Linked DNA regions of Tamandua tetradactyla. The protein of the gene in region 1 purifies or fractionates together with the protein of each later gene. This does not show direct contact. Links are inferred from orthologs where the notes say so. Each region holds a gene or a part of one and is shown on either strand. Other genes may lie near its edges.

Region 1 (7,847 bases):
GAACACAGTCAGGGCTTCTCCCTCAGCTGGAAGGGCACATGGCGAACACGGCATCATCTAGCTTTCTCTCCTGGCTTCTAATTTCATGAAGCTCCCCGGGAGGAGTTTTCCTTCTTTATCTCCAAAGGTCGCTGGCTCGTGGACTCTCTACTTCGTGGTGCTGCAGCATTCTTTGCTCTCTCCGAATCTCCTTCATTCTCCAAAATGTTTCGTCTTTTATACGACTCCAGAAACTTATCAAGACCCACCGAAATGAGTGGAGACATGTCGTCACCTAATCCAGTTTAACAACCACTCTTGACTAAATCACATCATCCAGGGAGATGATCTGATTACAGTTTCAAACATACAGTATTGAATAGGGATTATTCTGGCTTTTTGAAATGGGATTTAGATTAAAATGTGGCTTTTTTAGGGGACATACATCCTTTCAAACCTGCACAAGAACCATCTGGAGAAAACTCAAATGGTGCCTGCTCCAGGTTCCCAGCCTTACAGGTCAGCAAAGAAAGGAGAATAAGATAGCAGTGGGGCTCTTTCTAGTGAACTGAGACTGAAAGTAACAATAATGGACATCCCAGCTTGGAGAGAGTAACTGCACTCCAAGGGCCAGCTACCCAATGAACCTCAGTGCAATCACGAAAAGAAACACCAGACAAATGAAAATAAAAAATGGAACAAAATGACTGACGGAGGCTACTAGCCCTCCTGACAAAATAAACCAGTGGTAGCCACTGGAGAGTTTTGCCGGGAGAAGAGCCCTTTCCAAGAAGGATTTTTCTAGAAGACAAAACCAGTTGATCTGCAGGTCTTTCTTAGAAGGCAGAACAATGGGAGGCACCTACAGAACTGCAGACAGGCAACACCTGGGGATAAACCAGTTTGGGTCCCAGAGAGTTTATCAGAGTAGATAAGCAGACCATGGTAATCAATGCACATCTGTTCCCCACTTTCTAAGACCCCCTCCCCATCAAGTAAAAGGGAAACTTAATATCAGCTAGTTGGAACATCTCTCCTCTTGCTTCCACTCTGGCCTTTTCTGAGTTTCCACTTCCTGCTCCCTGGGGGGTGCTCCCTTCACTCTCTGAATGGGCCCACCCCCTCCACCATTCGTACATCACCCAAGAAAGCCAGGAGAGCTAAATTGCATGAAAAGGTTTTCTTTTATCATCACATATTCACACAAACAGTGATCAAAGGAGTGGAGTTTTAATGCTTTGTTTATGATACCATGTATACATTTTTCCACCCTTCCTCCCGAGGAGAGTCGATGCCTTAATTTCTGTCTTGGTTATTATGTAGGCAGCTATGTTCAGTGATTTATTCTCAATACAGAGGAGGGGCTCTGGCCCTGGGTATCTACAGTGTGGTTTTCTGTGTAGCAATAGACCAGCAGAGCAAGAAGACAAGAGAGTAAGCAAACAAATAAGTAATATGAGGTAAAAGGGGGAAAAAAGCAGATTAAGGGATTGGAAGATGTGCTACAGAGTAGAAGTTAGGGGTAAGGACTGTTTTAGACAAGGGAGTTGCAGGAAACCTCTCTGCTTTTCTCTCTGTCCCATCTTCCTGCTTCTCTTTGCTTGCTCATTATCACATATAACCCCCAAAGAGCCACCTCAAAATGGCAGCTTCAGCCCCTGAGTTTACTTGCCCTGTTACAAGTCCTAGGAACACCAGTCAATTCTCTAGAATCACTAACTCTTTTTTTTTTTAACATTTTTTATTGTGAAATATGACCTATATAGAAAAAACAATAAAATTCAAGGTATAGGGTAGTGCGACGGTGCCTTAGCGGCAGAACTCTCACCTGCCATGCCCGAGACCTGGGTTCAATTCCCGGTGCCTGTCCACGTGAAAAAAAAAAAAAAAGAAAATTCAAGGTACATTGTACCAAATTTTTACAGAACAGATTTCAGAATTTGGTACGGGTTACAGTTCCACAATTTTAGGTTTTTCTTTCTAGCTGCTCCAAGACACTAGAGACTAAAAGAAACATCAATATGATGACACAGCAGTCATATAGAATCACTAACTCTTAATTTTAATTAGATGGGAGCAAGAATGTAACTGGTCCCGTTTTTATGGATTCATTCATTATAGAACGTAAGGATGTGCCCCTAAATAGGGCCAGGAGTCCCAGAAAAAAAAAAAGGCATCCCACTAAGTAGCTCCATCACATCACTGTGACTCAAGGGAGAATATTGTACCTCCCAAAAGAGTTCGGTGGAACAACAGTTGAAAACCAGAGAAATACATGGCATGAGAGTAGTATAATATGTTATAAAGGCTCAAAGCTGGAAAAGATCCCATGTAGAAGGAGAATCTGAAAAGGCATCATAGAAGAGGTACAGTGTGGAAGGTATCCTTATGGTCATTCCATCCAACTATTGACCCATCTGGTGCTTGTAGGTGGATCTTGGATGACAGGTAGGGTTTGAACAGTTGAAAATACAAGTAGGAGGGGTGGTATTTCAAGGGAATAGCATTAGCAAAGACTTAGTGGTGAAAAGGCATAAAATATTCTGGAATCAGAAAATCATACTGGGTATGTATAGGGGTGTAGTGGGTAGTTTGGCAGGATGAATTGAACTATATAGTGGAAGGCTGAGGATACTGCAGGCTAAGGTGAACAGATTCAGCGGGTAAAGGTGAAACATTAAGACTTTTTAGGAGGGAAATCAGCCAGAGCAGAGCTGTGTTGTGGATTACTCTGCCAGTGGACAATAGCATGGATTGTAGAGGGGAAAAGAACAAAGCAAAGCTGTCAATTAGACTATATTAACAGTCAAGGTAAGTGTTCTAGTTTGCTAGCTGCTGGAATGCAATTACCAGAAACGGAACGGCTTTTAAAAGGGGAATTTAATGAGTTGCTAGTTTATAGTTCTAAGGCCGAGAAAATGTCCCAGTTAAAACAAGTCTAAAGAAATGTCCAATCAAAGGCATCTAGGGAAAGATACCTTGGTTCAAGAAGGCCGATGAAGTTCAGGGTTTCTCTCTCAAGTGAGAAGGCACATGGCGAACACAGTCAGGGTTTCTCTCTCAGCTGGAAGGGCACATGGTGAACACGGCATCATCTGCTAGCTTTCTCTCCTGGCTTCCTAATTCATGAAGCTCCCCGGGAGGTGTCTCCCTTCTTCATCTCCAACGGTCACTGGTTGGTGGACTCTCTGTTTCGTGGTGCTGCAGCATTCTCTGCTCTCTCTGAGTCTCTCTGAATCTCTCATTCTCCAAAATATTTCCTCTTTTATAGGACTCCAATAAACCAATCAAGACCCACCCAAATGGGTGGAGACATGTCGTCCCTTAATCCAGTTTAACAACCACTCTTGACTAAATCCCATCATTCAGGGAGATGATCTGATTACAGTTTCAAACATACAGTATTGAATAGGGATTATTCTACCTTTAGGAAATGGGATTTATATTAAAACTTGTCTTTTCTTAGGGGGCATACATCCTTTCAAACCAGCACAGTAAGGGGTGGGGAAATGGGGTGTGGATGAGACAGGCTGAAAAGAAATTTGCAAGACTTGGGAATTGAGGACCTATAAAGGGGCAGAGAAAGGAGTCAAGCACGATTTCAAGACTTTCAGCTTATAGTAGTTGTGAGGATGCAGGAAGTGACATGAGCAGAAATCATGTGTCACAAGTAACTTTTGGCTGAGAAATTGGAATGGAGTGGAAAATGTTGAATCAGGTTTGAATGGGACTTTGAGTTACCAGTGGTGCAGCAGGTAATTGAAAATCCAAGATATTATCAGAAGAGAGCACAGGGACCAAAGATATGTGTCATCTGGATGGGATCATGAGCAAGAGAAATGTCTGGGTAGAAGGCAGGAAACTGAGTACAGGCTGGTACAGACATAGAGAAGGAAGTGATCTCATGATCAAGAGTTTGTCATCTGCCTCATCTTCTCAAGTACAGAATGGGATCCGATGAGTGCTAAGAAAAGGTTGGGACTGAGAAAAGGCCATGGAGGTGACTGGTGACAGCCTAGCAACTTTTTGGTAGACAGCTGGGGCTGAAGTCAGACAGAGAGGAGTGAGTAGTGTAAAAGTGAGGCAGCAAGCTGCTCAGTGAAAGAATGCAGAAGGGTGTGGTAGTTAGATTCAGCTGTCAACTTGGCCAGGTGAAGGCACCTAGTTCTGTTGCTGTGGACATGAGCCAATGGTAGGTGAACCTGCTGATTATATCTGCAGTCGGCTAGGAGGCATGCCTGCTGCAATGAATGATGTTTGACTTAATTAATTGGTGCTTAAATGAGAGAGCACAATGCAGCACAGCCCAAGCAGCTTGGCATACCTCATCTCAGCACTCGTAGCTCAGCCCAGGCCTTTGGAGATGCAGAAAGGAATCAATCCCGGGTAAATTGTTGGCCTGGAGGCCTGGAGAGAAGGCCAGCAAGATCAAATGTGCCCCCCACATAAGGAAGAACCTCAGTTGAAAGTTAGCTGCCTTTCTTCTGAAGAACTAATGAAATAAATCCCCTTTTATTCAAAGCCAATCTGCCTCTGGTGTGTTGCATTCTGGCAGTTAGCAAACTAGAAGAAAGAGCTTGAGGCCAGGAGTGTAGAGAGAGATCGGGTATCAGCATCTAGGGACGACTGGCTTCAGGGTTCATATCCCTCAGCATCTAGATTTCTGCTTCAAGACACCTCACGCAGGTGAAATGTGACACTACATATCGAGTGTTTACCTCAGAGACTGCCACTTAGGAGGGTACCAATGACTATCTTGGGAGGATTAAGGGAATTGTTAGTTCCCTGTAAGCACAACCCACGGAGGATAACCGTGCTACACTGGGACAGATTCCCCTCGCAGGGCCTGTCTGCGCATGTGCGCAGGAAGGACGCGGTCGTGCGGCGGAAGTGGAGTCGGCGACGCTTTAGGGAAGGGAACGGCGGAGTAAACATCCTCTGCCCACCGCCTGTGGACTGTGTCGGCGGGTGGAGGCCACCATGAACAAGCTCTTGGATGATTATGACCCCTATGCGGTTGAAGAGCCCAGCGACGAAGAGCCGGCTCTAAGCAGGTGGGCCCCCGTCCCGCCCCAGTCCCCGAGGCTCCGACCACGGCCGGGCCTTCTCCTCCTCCTCCTCTTGCTGCGCCTGCTGGGCCTGTGCGGACTCTGGGTCCTGGAGTTCGGTCGCCCGACGTGCCCAGCGGTTTCCTGTCGGAGACTGAGGGAGCTTCCTGGTGGGGATCGCGCAGCCCCGGGAGGCGGGGCCGATATCGCCGCGGGGCAGGTCGATATTACGGAAATCACGGTGGGGGTGGGGTGGGGGTGGGGGTGGGGGGTGGGGTGGGGCTACGTGTAAATCTTCAAAAGCGGTGAGACCGAATCGTGTCTCTGCAGCTTGCTAGCGGAGTGACCTAAGGCAAGTTACTTATTCTCGGTTTTTCACCTGTATAATGGACATACAGTAACTGTGTTGTAAGTTTGTTGTGAGGTTCACGGGGCATGAAATGCCCATCTTGAAGACCAAACTTCCATTAAGAAATACGAGGGAATAAGGAATATTGCACAGACTTTGAGTACCTGTTATTTACTACTTGACTCCAGAGGTCAGCCACAAGAGCCTTAACTTCTGCAGGCTTAGGGTATGGTAGAAAAAATAAGACAAAATATGTATCTCGAAAGAGCTTTTCAGAACATTTACATCACTCCAGAAAAAGAATAAAAAGAAAAAAAACCCATACATCCCATACCCCTTACCCCTCCCTCTCATTGACCACTAGTATTTCCATCTGATTTTTTTTTTTACCCCCAGTCTCCCCTGTTATCTATGTGTCCCTTATTTTTTTACTCATCTGCCCATACCCTGGATAAAAGGAGCATCACACACAAGGCCCATGAATAGTTTTTTGTGTGAACATAAGTTTCATTTCACTAGAATAAATGCCCGTTGGTGCAGTTGCTGGGTTGTATGGTAGTTGCATGTTAGTTTTTAAAGAACTACCAAACTGTTTTCCACAGTGCCTACCATTTTACATTCCCATCAACATGTAAGTTGTTAGTTCCTGGTACTGCTTAAAATTGTCTCTTGCATCCAACACTTTGGAAACACTGCAGTATAGGGCATGTGAGAATTTCTGAACTTTAACTCCATTTACATTTGGTCTGGATAATTCTTGATTGTGGGAGGCTGTCCTTTGCATTGAGAAATATTTAGCTGCAATCTCTGCCAGTTGCTCCAGTTGGGGTAGAGAAAGAATAATAGTGAAAGGTGAAGTTGAAAAGATAAGTTGGAGCCAGATTGTGGAAGGCTGTTTTCAATGCTATTCTCAGAGATTTGGCCAATTGAAGGTCTAAGTTGGATAATGACATGATCAGAATTCTTTAGGAAGGACATTTTTGGCAGCAAGGTTAAGAGTGGAATGAAACAACTATATTTTAGGTACCCTCCCTTAAACTATGTTTAAAATTTTTTCTAGTCTGCTAGTCTAACAGGAGTATAAACAATTCAAGAACAGGGAAAAAGAATATATTTTGAAATATGCAGAAATGGTTGCTGTATGAAGTGAGAAAAGCTGCATGTGGTATGATAGATGTATCAAATGCAATCTTGTAAATTTTTTTTTGCATGGGCAGGCACCAGAAATTGAACCCTGGTCTTCAGTATGGCAGGCGAGAACTCTGCCACTGAGCAAACATGGCCTGCCCTAGTAATTATTTTTTTAAACTTTTTTTTTTTGTATAGTGTAACATATATACAAAGCAAAGAAATAAAAAAAGCAGTAGTTTTCAAAGCACTCTTCAATAAGTGGTTACAGGATAGATCCCAGAGTTTGTCATGGGCTTCCATATGATCCTTTCATATTTTTCCTTTTAGCTGCTCCAGAATATAGGAGGTTAGAGGGCTTAATACTTTTTTTTATCATCACAGTCGACTTTTTTCCTTCTTTTTTTGTGAAAAATAATATATGTACAAAACTATAAATTTCCAAGCACAGCACCACAATTAGTTGTAGAACATATTTCAGACTTTGACGTGGGTTACGCTTTCACAATTTTAGGTTTTTACTTCTAGCTGTTCTAAAATAACTGCAGACTAAAAGAGATATCAATTTAGTGATTCAGCATTCATATTCATTTGTTAAGTCCTATCTTCTATATATAATTCCACCATCACCTTTGAAATTTCCATACCTCTCCTTAGGGTATTTGGGCTATGGCAATTCTAAATTTTTGATTTTGGAAGCGTCTGTCACTAATACGGGATAGGGAGATGGAACTATCTGATGTTCTGGAGAGGCTGTGCTAGGTTTCAGGACTTATCTGCAGCAGGGTCCCATCTGAAGGTTGTAGATTTCTGAGAAGTTACACTAGTGTCTGGAACCCTTGTGGAATCTTATATATTGCCCTAGGTGTTCTTTAGGATTGGCTGGAATGGTCCTAGTTAGGGGTTGGCATGTTATGGTAGGTAGCAAGGTCTAACTGAAGCTTGTGTAAGAGCAACCTCCAGAGTAGCCTCTTGACTCTATTTGAACTCTATGCCACTGATACTTTATTTTATTTTATTTTGTTTTCAGTAGGAAACCTCTAACTTCATTTTTCTTTCTCAGGATATTTTTGGCTATTTGGGGCACACTGCCCTTCCAGATAAATTTTTTTTTATTAATTAAAAAAATATATTACCAGAAAGAAACACAAACATTCTTAACATATGCTCATTCAGTTCTGCATATATAATCAGTAATTCACAATATCATCACATAGTTACATATTCATCATCATGATCATTTCTTAGAACATTTGCATCAATTCAGAAAAAGAAGTAAAAAAACAACAGAAAAATAAAATGAAAACAGAAAAAAAAATTATACATACCATACCCCTTGCCCC
Region 2 (6,910 bases), on another chromosome or scaffold:
TTGGAAAGGGCTGTCAATAATATGGGATGGGGACAGAACTAGCTGATCATCTGGAGAGACCGGCCCCTCTGTGTTTCAGGATTTATCTGGCCTAGGAACCCAACTGGAAGTTGAAGGTTTCTGGAAAGTAATCATAGTGCATGGAACCTTATAGAATCTCAGATAAAGCCCTAGGTGTTCTCTAGGGTTGGCAGGAATGGTTTTGGCTGAGGTTTGGCAAACCACAGTAAACAGCAATATCTAGCTGAAGCATGTGTAAGACTAGCCTCTCAATTCTAACTGAACTCTCTCAGCCACAAATTCAAAAGAATTGTGTACAATTTTTTTTTGTACACAAAAGAATTTAGTATACTAAATTCTCTGCCATTTTGACCAGAGGAGGGTCCCTTCGCACTACTGTTTATATATTTATGTTTGAAATTTCTCATTAAAAAATGGTAAGTTATTGTTTACTAGTTTGCTAGCTGCCGGAATGCAACACACCAGAGATGGATTGGCTTTTAATAAACGGGGATTTATTTTGTTGGTTCTTCAGAGGAAAGGCAGCTAACTTTCCACTGAGGTTCTTTCTTACGTGGAAGGCACAGGATGGTCTCTGCTGGTCTTCTCTCCAGGCCCCTGGGTTCCAACAACTTTCCCCCGGGTGACTTCTTTCTGCATCTCCAAAGGCCTGGGTTGAGCTGCAAGTGCTGAGATGAGGAATGCCGAGCTGCTTAGCTGTGCTACGTTGTGATCTCTCATTTAAGCACCAGCCGATTAAGTCAAACGTTACTCATTGCAGCAGACACGCCTCCTAGCTGACTGCAGATGTAATTGGGAACACATGAGGTTCACATACCGTTGGCTTATGTCCGCAGCAACAAGATTAGGTATGCTCACCTGGCCAAGTTGACAACTGAATCTAACTAACACAGCATTATATTAAAATTACTCTTTCCACACTCTTTTCAACATCTATAATCTGGAACTGTTAGTACAATTCTTTTCCCCCTTTTGATCAGTAAGACATTGTCTATCCCCCAGTGTTAGAGCCAGGTTCAACCCTGGGAGTCATATCCTACATTGCCAGAAAGACTTTCACTCCTGGGTGTCATGTCTTCACTCTTTCTTATTTCTGTCCCTTAAACTGGATGATTTAAACAGTCTTATCAAAGAGTTTAGAGAATAGTTCCAGGCCAAAGCTTAGGGTGGAGACTTCCTGGTCCTTTCTACAGAAGTTTCTTAGGCATGCATGTGTAGCCCTAGCAATTTCTCCAGGTTCTGAAAGTCCCCACTTTCCTAAGAAACAGTTTCCTAGGCACTGCACAGTGTGTCCTACAGCCAGGAATCCCAGGCAGCATGACGTGACTGTTCTCCCACAGCATTGTGTTAGAGAGTTCTATGAGCTGCCTTTTACACACACAGGAAGGTTCTGGGACTGTGAGCCTCTTAGGCCAACATGTTTGGGTCAGACATACATGTTTCGACTATGAGCATGAGGATTACCTCACTTCCTCAGGAACCAGGACCATGGCTCTGCACTGGGAGTGTGGGCCAGCTCCATGTCAAGCTAGAGGGGTGCCAGAGTTGCCAACCACAGCACCATAATATCCTACGGCTTTTAAGTAGTCTATTTCTTGATTTGAAACTCACCCTATTATTTTATTTATTTATTTATTTATTTGCATGGGCAGGCACTGGGAATCGAACCCAGGTCTCTGGCATGGCAGGCGAGAACTCTGCCACTGAGCCACCGTGGCCCGCCCTCACCCTATTATTGAAGTCTTTTAACTGTTTCCTGGAGCTTTGAGGAAGACATTTTCTGCCAGTTCTTGCTGGTGTTCAAAGCTTCTGTGGGGAAATGGGGACCTGAAGAATCCCACTCTGCCATTTTGATCAGGGGACGGCCCCTTTGCACTATTGTTTATATATTTCTTTACGTTTGAAATTTCTCATTAAAAAATGTTAAGTTATATATTAAAATTACTCTTTCTACACTCTTTTCAACATCTATAATTTGGAACTGTTAGAAGGAAAATTAAAGTTAATACTGTAAAGCAGATCATCATTATAACACCAAAAACAAACACTGCTCTTAATTTATAGTTACTCAGATGCTATATATCTTAATTATTCACATCATCCTGACTCTTCTAGAAAGTCATCTTTTGGCAGTATGAAATTAATAACAGAGAACAAGAAAGTAACTAGACAGTGTCAGTAATTCTGGCCCTATAAATATCTATTAACATTTTAAATTTTACTTTCAGAATGGTCAGAATTCATTATAAAAGCTGATTTTTACCTATGTTCACCTTATTGGGAAAAGATTGCTTCTTCTTTCTAGTTCCTAAAGAAGTAATTATATGAATTGCTATTGCATGCATATCCTACACCTTAGTAAAGGACAGCTTCTGAAAGGCCAGGAGATGTCTTGGACTGATTTTTTTCATATGGCTAGTGTATTAAACAAGGATGGGGAGGAAACAGGAAATATTTATTGAATACCTACTATATGTAAAGTGCTGTCACTTTACATTTACATTTTACTATGAAGTAGGTTTTATTCCTATATTACAGAAATTAAGTCTCAGGGATTTAGTAATTTGCCCAAGAGTCACTCAGCTAGAAGATAGCATAGCCCAAAAACCTAAATATAACTCAAAATATCATCCTTTTGATTACCCTATATAGTTAATATTTAATTAACAAATATGTGGTTGCTTAAACTATAGCTTAGTGAAGAAAAAAATTTGGATTTGGGGTCAAAAATCCCAAGTTCAAATCCTGACTCTACTTACTATATAATTTGTATTAAGATATGTAACATTTATGATATGGTTTTGTTTTCTAAAACATTGAAGATAATAATACTCATGTTAAAGACTTCTCATGAAGATCAAAATGTGAAAGTCCTTTTGAAAACATAAAACAATAAATGTAAGAAATTAACATTGTGACACTTAACTAGGGAGTGGGAGGGGGTATTTAAGCCGGAAGTCTTTACTCTCAAGTCTCAAATGCAAAACTGAATCTTGAGGATTCGGAGATGGGGAGGTAGGATGTTATGTTAAGACTTATGACCACTCTTAGAATCAGATGGACAACCAGATTCATTCTTCAAACTGCATCGCTTGCTGGCTGTGTAACCTTTGGCATGCTACAATCTTTCAATCAGGGATGTTTATCTGAAGAACGTACAAAATAACAGTCCTATCTCATATCCTTGCTGAGATTAAGGGAGTTAATGCACGTAAATAGTTTAGCATGATGCCACGCACCAGATATATTTAACTTTATTATTTTAGTACTCAGTTAACTATTATTAACTTCTGCTAATAACAGTGGGCATGAAGCCATGTGGAAGCTACAAATGCTTTAGAAGACCGAGTCCCGGAGCTCATGAAATGTAGCCCAAGAAGGCCAAGTCCTAGGATATCACGGGTGACACGTTCCTACCTGCAGGCAAAAGGGACAGTACCCAGCAGGGCCGGGGAGAGAGAGTTCCGAAGAAAAACCTCTCTCCTGCACCCTGGGAAAGGAAAGCACCGAAGGACTGACCAGAAAGAGTCCCAGAGCGCCCGGGTCCCACCTCAGCCTCCCCCCGCTCCGGCTGGGATGGCTGAGCAGTCCACTCACAGATCCAAGTTCTGTGGCGCCGCCTTCCGAGTGTACCTTGAGATCATCCTCCTCCTCAGTCGCGGCCGGGGCGGGTACGCCAGGGTGGGGGTCGCCGGGCCTGGCCCTCCAGCCGGCTCGGCCCGACCCCTCCCTCACCTTCCGGTCTCGTCCCGCCCCGTCGCCTAGACTTCGGACCACCACCTCCCCAGGGTGCCCAGCTCTCTAGTCGCCCGCCCTCCCTCGTTCCCCGCTGGGAGCGGAAGTGACGAATGTATCCGGGCACCCGCCTAAAGCTCCCGCCGACGCGCGGCAATGACGACGCCTGGGGGTTCCGGAGACTGAGGCGGTTTCTGAGTTTCTCTCCAATCTCACGTCCGGGGCTGGCGTTGGGCTAGACTTCGGCGGCTCGTGGCGCCGAAGAACCCTGATTCCCAGGGGGAGCGCCTGGAATTGTCACGTGGTGGGAGGGGGCCGCGGAAGAAAAGTCACAGCAGAGACACACTGAAGAGGCCCCTGAGCTGTAAGAGGAATTGGCTTCATTTTGTCACATGCAGGATGGCCTGGTCCGGAAGTGAGCCCTCTAAGTGAGGCCCTTGCTGCTTAGTCGCTTCTCTTTGGGTGTTCTGGTTTTCTCATCTATATAGAGAGGAATTAACCTGGATGATCTCAAAGTCCCTTTAAGTTCTAACAGAGTAAATTTTGCATAAGGTGTGCTTGACGTTGGGGGATGGGTCGGTGGGTAGAATTATTGCCTGTGCTTCTGGGTTGAAAGGCAAAATGATGATTTGGGCACACCATGGTGAGTGAGTATCTGTATAGAAGTTACAGGTTCTTTTCGACCTTGTTTCTTTATTCTGTTAGAAAGCCGAGTAAACCTAAGAATCGAGGGGTGATCCTCCATACTTCCTTTACCAAGCATCACCTGGCAGCAACCTAGGAGGTAGAGAATTGTCTCACTTTCCCCAGATTTCTGATGGAGTACTCATTTTTGAGTTTGTTAATCTATACTTCGAACCTATGTTTTCATTCTACCATTTTGAGAAGTAATGAGTTCTAGAGGCATTAAAGTAGCACTTTTATTTGTAAGGGAAAACCCCTTAGACAATAAACAGATTAAAAGGCCTTATTTACCACCCTTCAAGATTCCAGAGCTGTGCCCCCTGAGACTTGAAAAACAGGCAAATTTAGGATCCAGAACCATGGGCAGATATATTCTCTTTAGAGACCCACAGGGAATAACCTGTATTTCAGAGTGAGTCAATAGGACGTGAATATTTTATAATTTTGAATTCCCTTATGCTCTACAATGTTTATAGAAGGGAGAGGGCTCTGAAGAACATTTAAATAATAAAGTTTTAAACTGGGGTCTGATTTTAGAGATAGTAAGCTGTAGAAAAAGAAAGTGAAGTATTCAAAGCAACACAGCGAATTAGTGGAGAACAGGAACTTTTGATAGTGTTTAAACAGTGGATCTTAGTGTAGAATTTCTCAGAGCATGCTGCACACAGTGTGAGGACAAGCATTTTTAAATTTTATTTCACACTTAATTTGGGAATGTTATACTGGATTTCCATTGATATTGATACAATGTTTTTAAGTATAAAAAAGTTATTAAAGTAATTTTAGCTAAATGTTATACTCGGTAGATGATCGAGACAAAAATGATGATGGCATGTGAATAACTGAATTTTGGAAAACAGTATTAATGGAATCACCTAGGGAGAATGCTGGGAATGGGATGTTACTATAATACTGTTTTATATGGTTTACATTATTGAAATTTTAAATACAGTTTTCAAAGAAATATGGAGAAAACTATGAGGCTTGCTACAGTAGAAGACACTGTGGAGTACCGCCTGTTCCTGATACCAGATGAACTAATGGATCCAGAAGAACACAAAGAGATTCTTCAGAAATATGTTGAGAGAATAATGACTCAGTTTGCACCTGTGCTGGTTCCCTATATCTGGCAAAATCAGCCTTTCAATCTCAAATACAAACCTGGGAAAGGTAAAGCTCTTTTACCTAACTTGATATGTATGACTCTATTATTTCATTCTGGCAACAGTGATGTGCAGTAATAGTCCATAGTTCAGTCACTGTTGTCAGGAAGGTATTTATGTCTTGAACTTTTTATATAGTGATGCTTTCATACTTTAATCCTTAAACTTGAAAAAAGTTTTTGTTTTTTTTAATTTATGTTGATGAAAACCTTTCTAATAATCATTACTTTAGGATTAGCATATATTCAATTGTATTAATCTCAGGACTATTCTTTTGAACTTTTAATTACTTAACTATGCCATGATGTATATATGTTTCTATACTAAACAGGTTCAGATAGTCAGCTTCCTTAACCATGGTTCCTTTTGCTATTATTCAGTATTCCTCACTCTTGGTGATGTGTTTAGTAGGCTGCCTTATCTCACATAGTTGTTTTGGTGGGAATCTAAGAGTGGCTTTGCCCAGGAATTATGACCACTATTTGACCGGGAGTTATGACCACTGTTTGCCACTCAGAAACATTTTGAGTTTCCTTCACTACTTCCCTGTTTTATTCGTTTTTGAGGTACCTGTGGCTGAATATGGTACTTTAAAAAAATCATTTCTTACAGATTTAGTAAAATAATTCATGGATAGGTGACCAAAGCTCTAGTCCCCTGTGACTTATGTGGAGTCTTACTTGGAATCAAAAGCTTCGCATGTTGTGCTACCATCAGTCTGACTCAGTTTAGTGCTTACCTCTGTGCCTTTACAAATACTGTTCCCTCACACATACTGTTCCCTCTTTCTGTAAAGCCCACGTCTGATCGTTCTTCCAGATATCACCTCCTTTTTGCTCACATAGCTCTTGGTGCATGTCTATTGTAGAGTTCATCATCTCATTTTAAGATGACTTGCTTCTCTCTCTCTTTTTAGACCTTGAGCTCCTTAAAAATAGTCATCTTGTATCTTGTTCATGATCTATGTTTCTGTTCACTACTTCCCTGTTTTATTGATTTTTGAGGTATCTTGTATCTTGTTCAGGATTTCAACCCCACTCCTATTATAGCACTTGAAGCATAGTAGTTAGTGAATGTTGTTCAACTGAATGATCACATATATATTTTTTATTTTTATTTTTTTATCACATAGTTGTATATTCATCATCAGGATCATTTCTTAGAACATTTGCATCAATTCAGAAAAAGAAATAAAAAGAAAACAGGAAAAAAATTCACACACACCATACCCCTTACCCCTCCTTTTCTTCGATCACCAGCATTTCAATCTACTAAATTTATTTTAACATTTGTTCCCCCTAATATTT

What was found. Proteins that work in one complex are often made in the same cells at the same time.
Region 2: the proteins of EAPP (region 1) and ECD purify together in Homo sapiens (affinity purification with mass spectrometry; 3 studies listed by BioGRID and IntAct, counting the BioPlex papers as one, with this or other methods). This does not show direct contact. The link is inferred for Tamandua tetradactyla from reciprocal best matches to the Homo sapiens genes EAPP and ECD.

What each region holds. Positions count from the first base shown.
Region 1 is NC_135340.1:19,477,178-19,485,024, forward strand, and holds the start of EAPP (E2F-associated phosphoprotein), read left to right. Parts: upstream 1-4,843; 5' UTR 4,844-4,959; coding exon 4,960-5,033; intron 5,034-7,847. UniProt on the Homo sapiens protein: May play an important role in the fine-tuning of both major E2F1 activities, the regulation of the cell-cycle and the induction of apoptosis. Promotes S-phase entry, and inhibits p14(ARP) expression.
Region 2 is NC_135339.1:23,439,268-23,446,177, forward strand, and holds the start of ECD (protein ecdysoneless homolog), read left to right. Parts: upstream 1-3,904; 5' UTR 3,905-4,155; coding exon 4,156-4,184; intron 4,185-4,243; exon of another isoform or gene 4,244-4,308; intron 4,309-5,392; coding exon 5,393-5,610; intron 5,611-6,910. Other genes in the region: primary cilium assembly protein FAM149B1, read right to left, coding at 3,619-3,665. UniProt on the Homo sapiens protein: Regulator of p53/TP53 stability and function. Inhibits MDM2-mediated degradation of p53/TP53 possibly by cooperating in part with TXNIP. May be involved transcriptional regulation. In vitro has intrinsic transactivation activity enhanced by EP300.